3 linked regions of the Neurospora crassa OR74A genome follow. The protein of the gene in region 2 interacts with the protein of the main gene of each other region in a pairwise test. Links are inferred from orthologs where the notes say so. Each region holds a gene or a part of one and is shown on either strand. Other genes may lie near its edges.

The links. The genes of interacting proteins can lie anywhere in the genome.
Region 1: the proteins of NCU06540 (region 2) and NCU03766 interact in binary tests that used the Saccharomyces cerevisiae proteins (3 or more experiments, as listed by UniProt). The link is inferred for Neurospora crassa OR74A from reciprocal best matches to the Saccharomyces cerevisiae genes PAT1 and LSM5.
Region 3: the proteins of NCU06540 (region 2) and NCU01601 interact in binary tests that used the Saccharomyces cerevisiae proteins (3 or more experiments, as listed by UniProt). The link is inferred for Neurospora crassa OR74A from reciprocal best matches to the Saccharomyces cerevisiae genes PAT1 and LSM1.

Annotation. Positions count from the first base shown.
Region 1 is NC_026505.1:2,344,244-2,349,441, forward strand, and holds NCU03766 (small nuclear ribonucleoprotein), read left to right. Parts: upstream 1-2,179; 5' UTR 2,180-2,293; coding exon 2,294-2,318; intron 2,319-2,396; coding exon 2,397-2,453; intron 2,454-2,533; coding exon 2,534-2,572; intron 2,573-2,651; coding exon 2,652-2,679; intron 2,680-2,746; coding exon 2,747-2,810; intron 2,811-2,867; coding exon 2,868-2,909; 3' UTR 2,910-3,104; intron 3,105-3,180; 3' UTR 3,181-3,389; downstream 3,390-5,198. Other genes in the region: NCU03765 (3'-5' exonuclease/helicase), read right to left, coding at 1-1,336, 1,414-1,562; NCU03767 (mitochondrial chaperone bcs1), read right to left, coding at 3,404-5,198. UniProt on the Saccharomyces cerevisiae protein: Component of LSm protein complexes, which are involved in RNA processing and may function in a chaperone-like manner. Component of the cytoplasmic LSM1-LSM7 complex which is involved in mRNA degradation by activating the decapping step.
Region 2 is NC_026504.1:1,577,020-1,583,139, reverse strand, and holds the start of NCU06540 (topisomerase II associated protein), read left to right. Parts: upstream 1-2,241; 5' UTR 2,242-2,598; intron 2,599-3,030; 5' UTR 3,031-3,077; coding exon 3,078-5,272; intron 5,273-5,333; coding exon 5,334-5,622; 3' UTR 5,623-6,120. Other genes in the region: NCU06541 (alpha-1,2 mannosyltransferase KTR1), read right to left, coding at 1-129, 226-276. UniProt on the Saccharomyces cerevisiae protein: Activator of decapping that functions as a general and active mechanism of translational repression and required for P-body formation. First decay factor recruited to mRNA, at a time when the mRNA is still associated with translation factors.
Region 3 is NC_026502.1:2,979,675-2,985,107, forward strand, and holds NCU01601 (hypothetical protein), read right to left. Parts: upstream 3,144-5,433; 5' UTR 2,880-3,143; coding exon 2,702-2,879; intron 2,628-2,701; coding exon 2,559-2,627; intron 2,434-2,558; coding exon 2,114-2,433; 3' UTR 1,810-2,113; downstream 1-1,809. Other genes in the region: NCU01599 (hypothetical protein), read left to right, coding at 4,013-4,435, 4,507-5,433. UniProt on the Saccharomyces cerevisiae protein: Component of the cytoplasmic LSM1-LSM7 complex which is involved in mRNA degradation by activating the decapping step.

The sequences.
Region 1 (5,198 bases), on a different chromosome or scaffold from region 2:
GCTTGTGCCATTCTTGCCGGTTTTGGTGGTGGCAGAGACAAAAGCGTCTTCGCCGCTGAGGGTCGTGCTCCCGTCTCCTTCGATTTCGACGTTGATATTGTCACCCACAGTGGAGAGGTAGTTGGCTGATAGAGTGGCGTCAGGCGCGGCCGTTACTTCCGAAAACTGTTCGTCTAATAAGCCGGCTTCTTCGAAGATGACGTCCGCGGCGAGCCTGATGGGCAGCTTGAGCTCGGCGGCGTACGGGAGGGGAGGAGTGGGGTTAAGTTGCTTTCGTTGGTGGTCCATCATGGCGAAGAGCTGTACGCCGGCGTAGGCGTCGGATCCTGAGTAGAGGATTTGGTCCATGTTCAGGGGCTTGGACCATTCACTTGTCCGGACTGCTCCTTTGAACATTGGCAACTGGAGGACCTCCTTTACCAATGTTGCCAACGGGACAAGGCGTCTGTTGACAAGCTTGTGCTCACCGGAAGCAGAGTACTTGACGAGCTTATACAAGTGAGAGAGCTCATAAATTCCCTTTGCTTCGATCCCGAGGAACGTTTTCAAACGGGTGCAGTCGCCCATGATCCAGACACCGGCTTTGACAACATCGGCGTCCTCGATGATTTGCTTGAGTAACGGAGAAGCAAGCTCATCCTTCCTCGGATAGAGCGAAATGTGAAAGATTCCAATACGCTTCTCCGAAGCAATCTGGATAACCGACACGTTTTGCCTCGGGCCGTGGCTCTCCTTTGCGCTGATTTCCCATTCCAAGTCAAGACCGAGAATCTTCTCATCCATGAAGTACTGCTTCAAGACCCTCTCAGTGGTGGTCGCACTTCTGCAGTAATGGACCTTGACCTTCTCGTTCATGTTTCCATCCTTGTCGGGCCCACGATAGAGGTTGTAAGTCCAGTAAGACTTTGGAGTGCCCTCGGCCGCCTTCTTCGCCTCCTTGAAGAGATCCTCGGACATGGTGAAGCTGAGTGGTGTAAACGGAGGCTTGAGAGAAGCATCCTCATCTTTCGACTCAACGTTCCCATCCTCGAGTATGAGTTGGAACTGTTCCTCCAGCCCTTCCTGTGCATCAACAAACTCCTGCCCCTGGGAGTCTAACGTCGTTCCATTCGCGTCAGGATTTCCCTGAGGTACACCTGTGGAGTTGAAGACACCATCGTGGTTGGGCGGAAGAACAGGTTCCGGGTTTGAGGCTGCTGACACCGCAGAGTCGCTGTGATATCTTGCCAAAGATGGCAGTTGCGGGTATCCAACGCTGCCGCGACTATCGCCAGCAAACGTAATGCCCCGGCTTGAATTCCACGTCTGATCTTTCCTCTCCATGGCGCCAAGATGTCTTGATTTGTGTAAAACCCTGGTCAGCCAAAAATATACGGAGAAGTAGTAAGGACCTGGAAGAGCCAGTGAACCTACACTGGATAACGGGATGTGGAAGGAACCGAGGATGAGGGCGAAGAAGCAAAGAAACGCCGCCGGCATTGCCTCAGAGTCAAGCTGGTGGTGCTGTTTACGGCGTTGGCACCGGCGCCGATGGCTTGTGGTATAGGGTGCGGGGACCTCATTATAGCGATGGATGGCAAGCGCAGATCACAAAGTTGCCGAGTGCGTGGGAGGTATGCGTGGTAGAGGTAGGTAGGTAGTAAGTAATGTTGCAGGTTGTCAAGGCCCAGAGAACTGCGCCATGACCTGTCGATTCGTTTGAATGCTGACAGAGGGGAACGAGACGAAAAGGTGTTTGGTGGTTTCAGGGCACTGATATGAATGTTGGTTCGGTCAAAGTGGGGGAACCAAGAGAAGAAGTCGGAGACGGAGTGGACGTTGAAACTTCAAGTTGAACAAATATTGGACCGAGAAATACCTTGTCACGGGCAACGTTGGCTGCTGGCAGGCAGAAACGCGAACGTATTTGGTTGCCTCCGAATACTGAAATCACAAACGAACTGTTTGCTTTGTTCACAAGGAAGGGTCGATGTGAACTAATTGATTCGGTTGCCACTGCAACAGCAGCGCTGTCACGACGTCCAGCCGCTGCCGAGTTGCTGCTGCTGAAGCCTAGGTAGATACCCCGTTTATTCTCATATGCATGGGTACAAGCATAAGCTGCGCCAAGAACGAATCCGAGTCCACGCTGATACTGTGGGAATTACTGATCTTTTTTCACTGTACAACAGCTTAGTACGTACGCCCTGTCGCCTTGTTGGCCTCACAATCGAAGCTCAGTGAACAGCCACTGAACGTCCCTTTCGACATCCAGACTTACCTAAAGACTCGACCATTCCACACCACATACAACATGGCCTCGCAATTACTTCCTCTCGGTGAGTGAGAGAGCTCATGCTGGGCACCACTACTTAGGTATCCAAGAATAAGACAGCTAACGTGGTTTTTTTCCCCAGAGCTCATCGACAAGTGTGTTGGTTCCCGCATCTGGGTTGTCATGAAGGGAGACAAGGGCACGTTATGCCATCCTAGCTGTCCCTGCTGGATTTTGACTTATCGATGGATGTGCTGACTGATGATGGAATGAAAACAGAGTTCGCTGGCACTCTTGTTGGTTTCGATGACTACGTTAGTAAGTAGCGGGCCTCTCCTCACCATCCCCTGTCTTCATATCGTCCCACGGAGCCTTATGCTAACTCACTTTCAAATAGACATGGTTTTGGAGGACGTCACTGAGTTGTACGACGCGTCCTACTCTGGAAGTAGTTCATGAAGGACATTACTAACTTCACTCCTGCTCGATCAGCGACTACTCCGGCAACCACACCAAGTTGAAGAAGATCCTGTTGAACGGCAACAACATCTGCATGGTGGGTCATCATCGTCATCAAAGCTCGCGTTTACAAACAACTAACAGCTGTGCTCAGTTGATTCCCGGTGGTGAAGGCCCAATTGCGGCATCTGCCTGATTTGAAGGCTTGAGAGGATACATGAGGCATGGCCGCGTTAGGAAGAAGCAATCATCATCAGCATATCACGAAATACGAATGGACGTTTCTTTGCCCTCTGTCGGTCACTTCAAGAAGAAGTCAATAATAATAGGTAATTCAGACTGATTCCAAAACACCTCCAAGGAAATTGCTGCCATACACAGCTCACATGAGGTAGGTTGAACTATAATCCTCCATCATATTTCATACTGTTTGTTTGACCCGACTTGACCAAAAAAAATTATCTTAGGCTAGCACGATCAGCAGTTCCTCTTAACCTTAACCAAGCGCTTTTGGATCACCTCTTCAATTGAGAAACAAAGCAAGAAAATGGCTGCCTGTTGTTGCAACTCACCTGATCTAGGAGCACCAGCAACATTGAATATCCAAACCCACCCCACCACCCAACCAGCCGTCCTTGCTCTCTTCCACAACCCATAACTACCAAACCAACATTCAACCACCACCACACTTCAAATAGCCTTAGCATCCAAAATCTTGCTCTTACTCTCCTTCGCCTTGACCAGCTCCTCCACCCACTTGTCCACCTCCGCCAACGCCCTTCTGGGGTCCTTCTTGCGCCTCAACAGAAAGCCCTGGATCTCCGCCGGACTGAGGATCTGGGATGCCGGGATTCTCAGGGAAAACTCCCTGGCGATCTTTTGGAGTTCTTGTCTAGTTAGGGGGGTAATGTGGAGAGGGACGGGACTTTCCGTCTTTTCTTCTGCTGGTTCTTGTTGTTTCCCCTTGTCTTTGGCTGTCGCCGCGGCGGCGGCGGTGATGATGGGAACAAGAGGAGGAGCAGCGGCGTTGTCCTCTTCGCCAATGACGGTTGCGTCACTAGAGCAACTGCTGATGGAGGACTTGCGGAGGTTGTTGTCGTCGAGGAGTTTGAGATCAACGATCTTGGGGTCTATGGGGGGCTGTTGTTGTTTTTCTTCATCCTTCTCAGCGGTGGTGCCGGTGCCTGTGCCGGTGCCATCCGGGGACGCAACCCCCGTGTGAGGAGAATGACCGACTGGAGGCAATGTAGTAGCTGCCGATGTGGTGCTAGCTGTGACCTTATTCCCAACCTGGGTAAATGTCACTGTGGCTGGGTTCACCACATCGGCTTCGTACATCCTCTCAAATAGCTCCCTGACTTGTTCCTGCGTGGCGTTGAGGAAAGCAATCTGGATGTCGACCCTGCCCGGTCGAAGTAGTGCTTCGTCTAGCTTCTCTGGCTTGTTGGTTGTCATGATGAGCACGCGGCCTTCATGCGAGGCAACGCCGTCGATGGCGTTGAGTAAACCTGATAGCGAAATGCCCCGTTCTCGGTCATACGGAGACGGCCGTCTGCGACCGTACTGTCTCCGGACCAAGTCCAGGTTATGAAGTGTAGTGGCAGCGAACGTCTTCGACATCCTTTTCCTCTTCTGCTTTTTCTTGTGCTTCTTCTCTTTGGCCGTCATGGGCTTCTTCTTCTTGTCAGTAGTGCTGCTAGATTCTTGTTTCGTTATTTTCTCTCCAGTTTCTCTGGCATCATCTGCAGAAGAGGTGGGCTTCTCTTCGCCCTCAGGGGCAGCAGGTTTCTGTTTCTCCTTTTCAGGAGTGGTATTCTTTTCGTCAGTAACCGTCTCATCTGCCTTTTCCTCGTCATTGCCCTCTTTAAGCATCTCCTTCAAGGCAGCCAACTTCTCCGCCACTTCCTTCTCAAGAGCCTCCTGCTCTGCCGTCACCTGCTTTCCCTTCCCTTTCCTCTTCTTCCTCGCCAACTTTCCCTCCAAAAATATCACCTCCAGTGCCCTCTTCTTCTCACTCATCAAATAATCATCATCACTATCACTACTCCCACCTGCATCACTACCACTACTCTCACTACTACTACTACTCTCCTCATCCGTCTCATCCTTTCTATTCACCAATCCCGCCGTATCAATATCCTCCAACAGCACCACACACCGTCTCGGCAGATTCGTAAACAACATCCCCAGATCGTCCTCCGTCAGATTCTGATCCAACAACGAAATCACAAAGATATCCAGCCCAAACACCCCCGCCAGCGCAAAACTCAAGCTCGTCTTGCCCGTCCCCGGCGGGCCATGAAACAGGTACCCCCTGCGCAACGGAATGCCCCGCTCGCCATACCACTGCGCCGTGTCCCTGTGCAGATACTCGTTCATATCCTGCAACACCATCAGCTTTTGCTTCTCGTCCAGCACCACCGTGTCCATGGGCCGGATGGGCCGATCGGCCACTTCCGTCCAGACATGGCGGCCGCCGTAGATG
Region 2 (6,120 bases):
AGTGCTTCCGGTAGTACTTCCAGTCGATGGCTTCGAGTTTCCGGTGGATTGTTGGAATTTGCCAAAGTTATCTTTTAGGGGGGTCACGACGGATGACGGCGTAGAGATGAAGTAAAGAACGGCGATAACCTAACGTCATGGTTAGTGGGGTACCGGGAAAGCGAACAGCTACTATTGAGTGCAGAGCATTGAGCCAAGAAGTGTACCAGAGATGATCAGACTTACAAAAAAGGCAAGGAGGATGTAGCGCACGTAGCGTGCGCTGCCCGCCGCCATGTTGAAGGAATACGGACTGAATCGAGCCTAAAGTCAAAGTTTGTCGAGTGCAGTGGTGATTGTGTTTCCGAAAATGTTCGTGTTCACGGGTCCTGTGGGACAGGATGGACAATGGCTGAAGGCGAGCCACGGAAGGAAGCGACCCGGATCCCTCGTGAATCGCTGCTGCACGACAAGTCTTGAGATGTCCGGATCCCGGGGAGATGTCCGAGATGGAACTGCAGATGGCGAACACGGCCTCGGTGGTTGAAAGAGATAATTCAACCAGGAGAGAAGATGGCCAGGCTTGGATCCTGAAAAAGAAGTGAAGTTGAAAGAGGAAGAAGTTCCCTTGGAGGCGGGACGGGAGCCAAGTGTTGTTAGCTGTCAGGGTTCGAAGGCTCGGGCGCAGTCCTGCTAGGGCAGCCCACTGCAGCTTCGTATTGCCTGGTATTGTATGGATATAATGCGGAGGTTTGCTAGGCACATTAATTGGCACGTAGAGGTACAGAGGGGTGCCACGTCCGCGTATGCAAAGGGGTACCCGGGCCGTTGGTTGAGAAGAGTCTGGCACTTTTCTAGACTGTAAATACCCCTGGATACTTTGTTCTGATACTTGGGGACTTGGATATTAGAGGAATGTCTAGCATGGAGATGCTGGTATCTCAAGTGCTGTTCATGTTTCGGCCTCTTTAGAGGTAGTTAGGTGCGAACTAGCCTGTAATGAAAACATCCCAAAAGTGTCGGTATCTACCTACAACATCCTCAGCAACGTCCGCAAGTGGCCTAAATAATATCTACATACCTACCAGAAGCTATCGCATTCCCCGTTCCTGATGGTCGCTTGCGGTGCATTCCCCTGAGCACCTCAATGTTTCCGTCCGGCCAGGACCAAAAGATTGGCCGCGGGGGTAGGCGGCAGGGAAAGACATTAGGGTGCCCTCGGTGCCCCCACAGCTTCGTCGTCACCTGTATCCGCAGGTACCCCATTATTGCGGGCCGTGACGGTTCTAGCGTGGCCCTGTTAGTAAGGGACAAAAACCCCCTTGAGACGGGCGTCGTCAACTTCCAGGGGCACTACCTACCTCTACGACGACTTCAGTTCACATGTCGCATCCGTCAACGGAGGGGTATGTCTTGAGCTTCTTGATCCTTTTACCACGCTGAGAAGTGGCTGATTAGCTCATACTATGATACTTGGGTTAATATGATCTGCTGCCGGCCTGCTCCCTCCGCATTGCTCCTCCGATCGGAGTAGTTCTTCAAGATGGCGAAGAACACCGACTTGAGTGATGGCCATGATACCTCCCTCTCAAAAGAAACAACAGGGAAATACCAGGCCCCTGATATAATTCAAGTTCGACTGCATACTATGTACAGTAAAGTCACCTGTCAAGAAAACAGCCTTAAGATAGCCATGCCATGTTTGCCTCTGTCCATGTCCGCGCTTCCGCTTCACCTGCATCGGAATGGCGAATTCACATACTTAGAAGCACAGTCTAAACAGCTGCGTTTAGTCACGGATGTCACGGCAGCAAAATGGATGCCTGAGCTACTGTCCTTGCCCTTCAGCTTTCTTGCCAAAATCGATATCTCGAGCTTGAAATTTGGTTGTCGGCTTGGCGTTAAATGTTGACCATGAGGTTGCCGTCCCGTCCGGGTCTCATGTTGTAGCCTCCAGTTGATCACTGTTACGCATCACAACTAGCGGGCGGGTATCGCCGATTGGCTCATCGGATAAAACAACTTGCAAGACTGGAAGGATGGAATGGACATTCTTGCCGGCGGTTGAGGATCCCACAGCCCGGCAGGCAATGGGCCTCTGGTTGCCGCCCAACCGTGGCAATCACTCCCCCGGCCGCGGCCTTGGAAGTCCCATCGTCAGTCAACGAACGGCAAGACAGGAGGGTGGTGTGTCAAAGCGTCAGGCCTACCGCCGCCCGCCCACCTGTTGCCAGGCTCCATTGGCCCTCGGGGGCGATTGGTCCACAGCTCCCTGATCTGGCTTCTGAGTTGGAGTTGGCCTGACTTCATCCATCTGCGTCGGTCTCTTGTCGCCTTTTGCGCTGCCATCAAGCTACCACTCCGAGCAACCGCATCCACATCTTCACCGCGGCGCACCCAGTTGCGCTTCCGGTCGTTAGTTCACAGCCTTCTTTGCTTCTCTGTTTTAATATTTCCAAGCCGAGCGCTGAGTATTTGTTGCCGCCCTGACAAGCTCTGCTCCGCTCCTTTGCACGAGTCGCACCGCCGTCGACACGTCTCCTTTCCCTTCACGTCGCGCATCGCAGCATCATGGTGCTTGACCAAACCGATCATACCAACATCTTTACATATCGTTCTGTACGTTGTTCTTTGATTTCTCTACAGCGTGCTTGCAACCTCGGTATGGCAAGGTCATGGGATGAAAGTTGGGCTCCCATGTCCCAATTCTCCATCTTCCATGTCGTTGTTGTTGCCCCGCGCTTCAAGAGACAGCTCACCACCCCCAGCTAGGTGGAACATCCATCGAGTCGCCCCTCTGCTTGGCTCGGGCTGTTTGACCACTGGACCTTCAAGCCCTTCCTGTTTCCCCTTCCACCCAGAACTTCGTGAACCTGCGTCACGGCTGTTCCTTCTTTATACTTCTCGTCCCACTCACCAACCAGGGTCTCGTCTTTTGCTTTGCCCCTCATTTTCCTCTGTGCCCTTGCCAATCAGCCAAAGCTCAACATCGCACCCGGATTTGCGCCGCAACGATCTTTCTTCGCTCAACGTATACTGACCCTACAATAGTGATACCTCTGTAGAAATTTTCCATAAACCCAACAGGCATCGCCAATATGTCTTTCTTCAACTTCGACCAGTCTCGCCATAATACCGCCGCTCCCGGCTTCTCCCAGGCTCACGATCCCTTTGCCAGCCTAGCCAACCGGGACGAGGAAGCCGAAGAGATCGACTTCGAGGACACTTATGACGGCTTGGGTGACCAGCTGGATGAGACCGACGATGCCTTCAATGATGATACTTTTGGCGGCGATACTGGCGAGCCGGGTCCTGTAGGCAAAGACTTTGACTTCTTTGGCCACACCGCCAAGGTCGCGAACGTCATTGAAGAGGAAAATGTTCGTTTCAACCGCCAACAACCAGCTGCCAAGGCTCCCCAGCCTGTCGCGCAGCCATCGGCCTATACGCCCATCGCCGGACCCTCGTACAACTATTTCGCGCAGGCTCCAGTTAGACCTGCCAGGACCGGCTACGAAAAATACCACGAGCAGCCGATCGAGGATCTTCAGGTTGACGCTGCTCTCTGGGGTGTCGCACCCAAGAAGCAACCGCCGCCGCCTGCTCAACCTGCCGTCCCTAGCGCGCCGTCTGGGGGCCGCAAGATGCTGAGTCTTGAGGAGGTTGAGGCTCAGATGCGCGCCCAGGCTAAGGCGGCCACCCCATCTCCCGCTCCTCAGCATCAGCCCCATCAAATTCCACATGAACAGGCTTACCTCTACCAGCACCAAGCTCAGAACCAGCCGCAGGCTCACTTCCAAGCCGGTGTCGTTGAACCTCTGTACCATCAACCGCAGGGACATCCCATGACAATTCTTCAGCGGCCTCACTCGAAGCCTCCTACGCCAGCCCAGCCCTCTTCCCAACCGCCCGCTATTCAACAGCATCAGCAACCCGCTGTTCCTCAGCAGCCTACTCAGATCCTGCAGAACCCCAACCGTCTTTCAGGCGACGCGGCTAAGATCGGGCTGCCTGTTCACCCTACGCCTCCGTCCGGTCCTCAGTCCGCTCACCAGGGCCACAGGCAACAAGGCTCTCTTCCGCGACAGCCCCCTATGATTCTTCATCCTGCCCAGCTGGCTCAGCTCTCGGAGGAGGAAAAGGCTGCGTATCTTGAACAGGAAGCTAAGCGCGCCAAGCGCAACCACAAGATCTTCCAAATGTCTCGCGACAATGGTATCATGACGCCACAGGACAAGAATTTCATCACCCGGATCCAGCTTCAGCAGCTTGTCGCAGCCACTGGAAATCCCAATGAACACGGCACAGACGAGTCACTCGCCGAGGACTTTTACTATCAAGTCCATAGTCAGATCCAGGCTGGCCATCGCCAGCACCCCAGCCAGCCTCTGAACCAGTTCGCTCAGACTTATCTGTTTCAGACAGGAAGCCGTCAAGGAGGTATGCGCCGCCATAACAGGGGTCCTGAAAACCATATGCAGAGGATGGAACAACAGGTCCAGCGTGCTGTTGAGGCGGCCAAGAACAAGCCCAAGAATAAGCAGCTTGTTATTGAAGGTAGCTTGGGCAAGATTTCCTTCAGCAACGCCAAGACCCCGAAGCCGCTTCTCAACATCAAGCGTAACGACAGCGCCAGCGATGTGAAGAAGGCACCGCATCCTGTTAATGGCCGGGACAAGAAGGACGAACTGAGGGCCCTCGAGCTGGTATACACTACACTTATGAAGATGGAAGACCACGAACGCAACATGCCTATGGCGCCTGCCGAGGACGATCAAGAAGCTCTTGCCAAGGTCTTTGCATGGAGTAACGAGGGACAGGCGTTGAATGAGCAGCTTTGGAAGGCTCTGAGGGTGCAGGATCACGACCAGCCAGGCCGCATCCACCCCTTCATGGCCCTTCTCAGTTACAGTAAGGGCAAGAAAGCCATACCGCGCATCTTCCGTCACACGAACCACGAGCAAAGAATTACCATTTTCACACGCATTGTCGTGAATCTCGACCAACTCGACGTTGTCCGAGAAGCTCAGGTTACAACTGATGACATCCAGTTCAACGCCGCTATGCGTGAAAACATTGAGCTGTTCTCGGCTGCTATAGTAACCACGCTGTTCACGTTTATGAACGAACTCGGCCTCGATCTTGTTGCCGCCATCCTTGGTCTTGTGTGCACGCGCAACGTGGACGTCATCGCCAAGAGCAGAATTGGCGCGTCGATGCTTACCATGATTCTCAGTCGGGCGGAGCTTATCAAGCACAATGGCGGAGGCAGTGAACAGGATTGGCGTTCTTGGTAAGTTCCTCTATATTCATGGTATCATGAGACATGAACCAAATGCTAACTGTCTCTACAGGGACATGACCTACACTCAGTTCTTCAACATCCTCGAGCCCACTCTTCCGTACATTTTCCCCGGTAGCATTGCCACCGATCAGGATACCTACGTCTGGCAGCTTCTCGCCGCTATCGGTATCGGTGCCAGCCCTGACCAGCAGCAAAGACTTGTCATTGCTGTCAAGGATCGTGTCATGGACACCGTCAGCCTCGCCAAGACGTTGCCTCCAGCACTCGCAGCCGACCGTCTGCAGAACGTCAACCTCTTCATGCGGTCGATCGGCCTCGACGTTGAGCTGCTCCAGTAAGCAACTCGGCAATAACCCTACACACATTGACTTTGAAAGTCCGTTGCAAAAACTATCTGGGCGGGTGGTTTAAGCAACGACGATCATCATCATCATTATCGAAAAAAAGGAAAAGTTGCGTTGGTTGCATCGCGTTCGGTCAGCGATTGTTCTTGAAGAGTCCCTTGCATATATCGAGAGACTCGCTCATACTTTTAAGGCGGATCAAAAAAAGCAGCTTGGTGGAGGAACAGGAACCATGTATATGGGCCATTTCACAAGGAATTGTTTACCTTAATAAACATTTTGGCTTACCTACTACTGAAAGGTAAACTCCTGGGGCGGGAAGCAGGAGGAGTTTCTTCTTACCTACATTGCATCGCTGGGGAAAAGAAAAGAACTTGGCGGTTGGTTTCTATATAACTCGGCATTGCTGTATGGATGGATGGATGGATGGATGGATGGAGACAACTGTAGAATAGGGACCAAAAAAGCGGTCGGTCGGGTTGGGTTTTGCGA
Region 3 (5,433 bases), on a different chromosome or scaffold from region 2:
TGCCGGAAGATCAAGACCAGATGTCGCTAACTTGAAATTTTAGCCGGCCGAGTGTTGGTATAAGGGTAGAAGCAGAGGTAGTGTGTTTGTTGAGGACATTTAAAGGGAGAGGAAGAAACGGGGCATGTTTTAATTGTTTACCTTGACGGATGGATGCGCCAGACCTCCAGACAACGACAGCCAGGTTCGTGCTGGCCGCAGCGAATCATGAGCGGGCTCTTTGATGGCACAGCGGCTGGGCAGGGGCAGCCGGGAAGCTCTTAGCGCCTGCCATGTCCCCGCATAAGGTTCGTCGGTAGTGGGGTCATTCCCATTCGCGGCTCCATTCACTGCTTTATAAGGTGACATTTCACTTTTATTGACAAAAGCGAGCGAGGTATCAAAGCTTCTTTCCATAGCAACATCCTTACACGTGCGAAAGACATACACCAAGAATAAAAAAAAATGGGCAGATACTGACCCTAACCACAGTCGCGGCGAACTGTTACCATCGATCATCGCAAGGACCGTTGCATGCCTTGAGCTTCGGAAAACTGCCATACCTGTTTGAGTTCAGTTGCCGGCGGTTTTTGACAATGGGACCGGCTGAAAGGATCCGTTTGGATATGGATTCTCTCCATAAACACATCTCCACACAGCCTCCATCCGGTGGAGCATGGGACGTTTCGAATCGCGGGTGGACGGCACTCCCGGTCTCGCTAGAGCAGCCACGCACATGGCAAACAACTCCTCTTACCCATGGGGCTGTTCATCTCCGAGGCTTCCTTTGTGCGGGACTATCCGTACAGCTGTCGTTGGGTGGTCCATCGTTCATGTTTGAAAACACATGTTGCACCGGGATGGTGGAAGATTCATCTCGAGGTTCTCCCACCGAGCTTCTTCGTTCACAACGACGCCAATGCACCCCGCAATCAACGACCTTGGGGACAACGGCGACCGGAGACAATGAGAAATAGCTAAATGTCTTTTATGTGTCCAACTTTACCTTCTCCCGGACAGCTATTCCCCTCACTTTCCCCCAGACAATCGGGTGGACAGGCCAATAATGGCTTCACCATGTCGACGATCCATGATTTGCCCTAGGGTGGTGCCCGATTAGATGAGGATGAGGAGAAGGGCCCGCCAAGATTAAGTAACTTGCCCCAAGCAAGTTGAAACTGCGCCGATAAGTATATCATAAAGGTTTGCCTAGGACAATGACCGTGAGATAGCCCAAGTGAGCTTGCACCCGGAATTGTGGCATCTTACCCTCCTTCTTCTTTCTTGCGTTTGCAGACCTTCAAGCCCTACGCCACGCCCTCGACATGGGGCTGGTACAACTTCAGTTTACCCACCACGCCCAACCATACATTCATGGACGACTTCACAGATTTATAGTGGTGGACTTACGAAAGACCTAGTGATGGCCTACAGCCAGCCCAACCCAGCCCACAACGACATCTCCCAGCGGCTTATACAGAACCCTCAGTGGATCAACGTGAGGTACATTGGATTTCCCTATTCCGACCGAAACAAGTTCAACCCCCCCTTTGTTGGCATGTGGAACGCAACCCCCGCAGCAGGTGGTTGAGTACTTGCTGCATATCATCTTTCAGTTTGATGATGCTGGGTAATCGGTTGGTTGGTCATGAGTGCCAACGCCTCATTTCCCGAGCTCGGCGTAGTTATCGATGATGGCGGGTGGGTGGGAGGATGTTGAAGTCGATGGGTTTGTGCCGGCTATGTGACTAGTCCTAGGAAAGAATGTTAGTCGTGGATATCTCTCTGGGCTATCCTTTCCCAACATGATCATAGTCAGTAGTGGCCAGGTTCGATTCGAGGCAATCCATCGAATTGCTAATTTTCTAACGGTAAAATACACTTGGTGTCTTCTTGGGCCGACCTTGGTGTAAGGCTTCATGCGGTCTTCCATTCGTATGAAGTCGCAGCTGAGTGGATAGCATTTCACAATATTCTGCTTCCAATCGCTCATGCCATTCCCTCCTTCGACACTCCCTTTCCACTTCAGGGGTATGTAGGTATAAATCATAACAAGTTAAAGTTTTGGTCGTCTCTCCTCCCGTCTCTTTCTTTCCGTCCCATTTGTAAAATTTGAGGGTGATTCATATATCATTCACAGAAGCGCCTCGCCTACGTTCTCCCCTTCGAAGCCAATGGTGGAAAGCTTCTTGATCTTGCGCTTCTCCTTGGCCTTCTCCTCGGCCTTTTTCTGCTTGGCTAGTGTCTGCACCAGTTCGAGGTCGGCAGGGTCGTAGCCCGGGGGCGGGTCGTCGTCGCGGTCAAGGTCGATCTCGCCCATGAGGAGAACGTTCTCGCCGCGAACAACGAAGAGGCCCCGGTCGACGTCGGCGTAGAGCCCCCTGGTCTGGGTGGGTGACTGCGTGCCTGGAGGCACGAATATCCTCTCCTTTGTCTGTTGTAGTACTAGGTTGGCTAGTATGGTGGGAAAAAAGTGGATTCGCGTTAACACAGCTACCTCTTCATACTCGTGCTCGTTCGTGCGTGCGTGTATAGGTGGTCATGTGTTGTAAGAGAGAGGTAGGTTCATGGAGGCATACCAAACTGATCCCAACTGCGGAGGATGCCCGTGAGCTTTCGTCCGTCGCGCAATGCTACCATTAGCTTCTCTGTTGGTACCCCGCCGCTCGTGTCAGCCTAGTTCCTCCCGTCCAAAAGATATGTCCACAATATTGCTTCTTACTATCGGTCAGGTCGAGGAGTTGGGCAGCTGTGGTGAACATTTGCGCGGGCAACTGCTGGGGCTGGGGAGGACGGCCGCCTCCTAGGAGTCCCGGCGGGGGCATGCCGGGTCCAGGCTGGCCGGGGCCCTGAGGGAAGGGCGGCGGTGGGGGTTGATCGTTTATCGAGAGGTGTTCCATGGTTGTGTGCTGAAGATGGCCTATGTCTTCTAGTCCATCTGTAAAGTTTCGGGGGGTGTCTTCAAGGTTGTTGAATGGGAAGCGGGATGCAATGATGCGATGGGACAGCTGCCCGCCCTGACGTTGCCTGCCCGCACATACTACTACCTACCTACTGCGTACATACCTACCTTAGTACATAGCTGCTGCCCTGGGCTGCCCTGGGCTTGCTCCGCTGTTTGTGCAGTTCACCCCACTTTCACGGTGAGAGGCAGCGACGAGAAGTGTGTTCCTTGAAGGACAGCCCGAGTCGCACAGATCTTTTTACCACTCTACTTACACGGCTCCTGCCATAAGCTTTTAGTGGATGATTCCAGCTTCCTTCCGGCAGGCAATTTGCGTATATGTACATGATACAAGTCAGCCACATCGCAGGTTGAGCCACAAGACGGAGCGAATCTCAGCTTTATCCACTTCAGCAATCAGCTCGGCTCATACAAACCTATCGCTGCTTCCTGCGGCAGACTGCTCTCGCTTAGGTACAGCGCCTGTGCGGTGGAGCTTCCATGATCACCGGACTGTATGTCTAGTCAGTAAACACTGCCAGGGCAAGGTGAAACCAAGCGCTGTGCAGCAACCTACAGTATTATTCAACCCGGTGGCCGGACAATGAGCCGACGGGACCTGCACTGACCTCCCTGTGCTGGTTTGCCTGTACCTACCTAGGTAGTGCCGCACTGCATTCTCCGGTCCTTCTGCTTCGGCTCAACCTGCTGTCAACCCCATTTCATTCTGCCACTCCATATTTCTCCATCTGCACCATACGTACCCTCGCTGTCGACAATTATACACAAAAGATCCCATGAGGACTATGTCCAAACCCGCTTCGACCACCAGAAGCCGTTCCTTTTCTCTCGCCCTTGCGCTGTAACCATTCTGCGCGCCCGTCCATCGGCGGACGAGGGCAGCTCTCTTCCCGTCGTCCAGTCGACTTTGACTTACTCGTCCTCTAGCCTCAAATCTCTGCACTGGGGCTCTCTTTTTTCCGCCCACCAGCCTCGCCTTGAGGTTTGCCTCGCCTGGTCTTACCTGGTCCGGATACAATAAAAAAGCAGGCAACCAAGAAACATATTTACGAGGACCCCCCTTTCGCCATGGCTTCTACCGACGTTACCATGGCCGACGCACCTTCCGGGCGGCCTGATCGCCGCTCCAACGCTTCTCCTCCTCCCGGTCAGTCACAGTCACAGTCTAAGAGAGACAAGCGACGCCAAATGCTTGCCGAACGCATTGCAACCCTTTCCGACAAATGGAGCAAGGACAGAGACCAGGCCTTTCGCGAACAACTACAAAAGATTCAGATTGACACCAGTCTGGTCATGCGAGTCGACCCCTATGTCGATCGACCTTTGGACAGCTTCGAAGAGGATCAGAGACGACTCAACCAGCTCAATGGCGCCGACTCCGACGGTGGTCCACGATCCCTCCTTGACATGGCTGGCCCCAAATTTGCCAAGTGGATGGAGAACGTACAGGATCTTGCAGAGCAACGCGATTATGCTCTCACCAAATTTAAAGTACGTCTCCCGATCATAACCGTTCAACGCTCCGCCAGTCAAAGTGCCAATGCTGACTCTTGGTTCCGCAGTTTGACTACGAGAAGAAGATCGCCGAATACCTCAATACGCATGCCTATAAGACGGAGCTTGCGAACAGAGAACACAAGGCGCTTGCCTCGACCCTCCGCGACCGACTGATCAACATCATCACTTCGAAAAAATACCGGCTCAACAAGGAGAAGGAGGCCCTCGAGATTGCCGATGCGTCCGCACTCCTCTTACACCCCAACCAATTCAGCATCACAAACCCAGCCAGCCCCGGAGGCACACACGGCAAGCGGGCCACCCGCCTGCGGAGAGAAATGGAGGAGATGAACGGCATGGACAGCAAGAAAAGAAAGCGCAACATGAATGATGACGACGGTTCTCCAGCGCCACAGCGCCGTGCACTCGACCCCAACAGCACTACACCCCTATGGCAGACCGACCGTCTGGTCCAACGCAAGACCACCGGCCCCATCTACAGCATTGACAAGCTGTTCACGGACAAGGAATTGTCAATGACCTACAACCAGTCGGCCTTGGCTGCGCACAAATACATTCTTACCCATAAGCCACGGTTTGACGACTATGGGCGCCCTATCTCGTCACCCGAGGGTAGTGTTTCCGGTAGCGGCGACCCTGATGATCTCGACTCGGAGTCGGCTCCGTCGGCGCCGATGATGGAGAGGAACGTTTCGCACGCTACTCGCAGCAACAAAAGTGGGGCTAACAATCCCAACTTTGACGACAAACTCATGGGCTTGGAGATGCTCGCTAACTTCGACTTCCCCGGTAACCTTGAGCGTTTGACTAGCAGTCAGGACCCTAAGCAGCCTCCTGCCTTCCCGTCACAATACGTCAAGGGCCATGCAAAGCAGTCTGAGTTTAACACACCGGCAGCACTGGCTAATGACGACGTGACCGGGGACTTGATGGTTATGCATGCCCTGAAGCAGTACGACCAGCTTAACGGC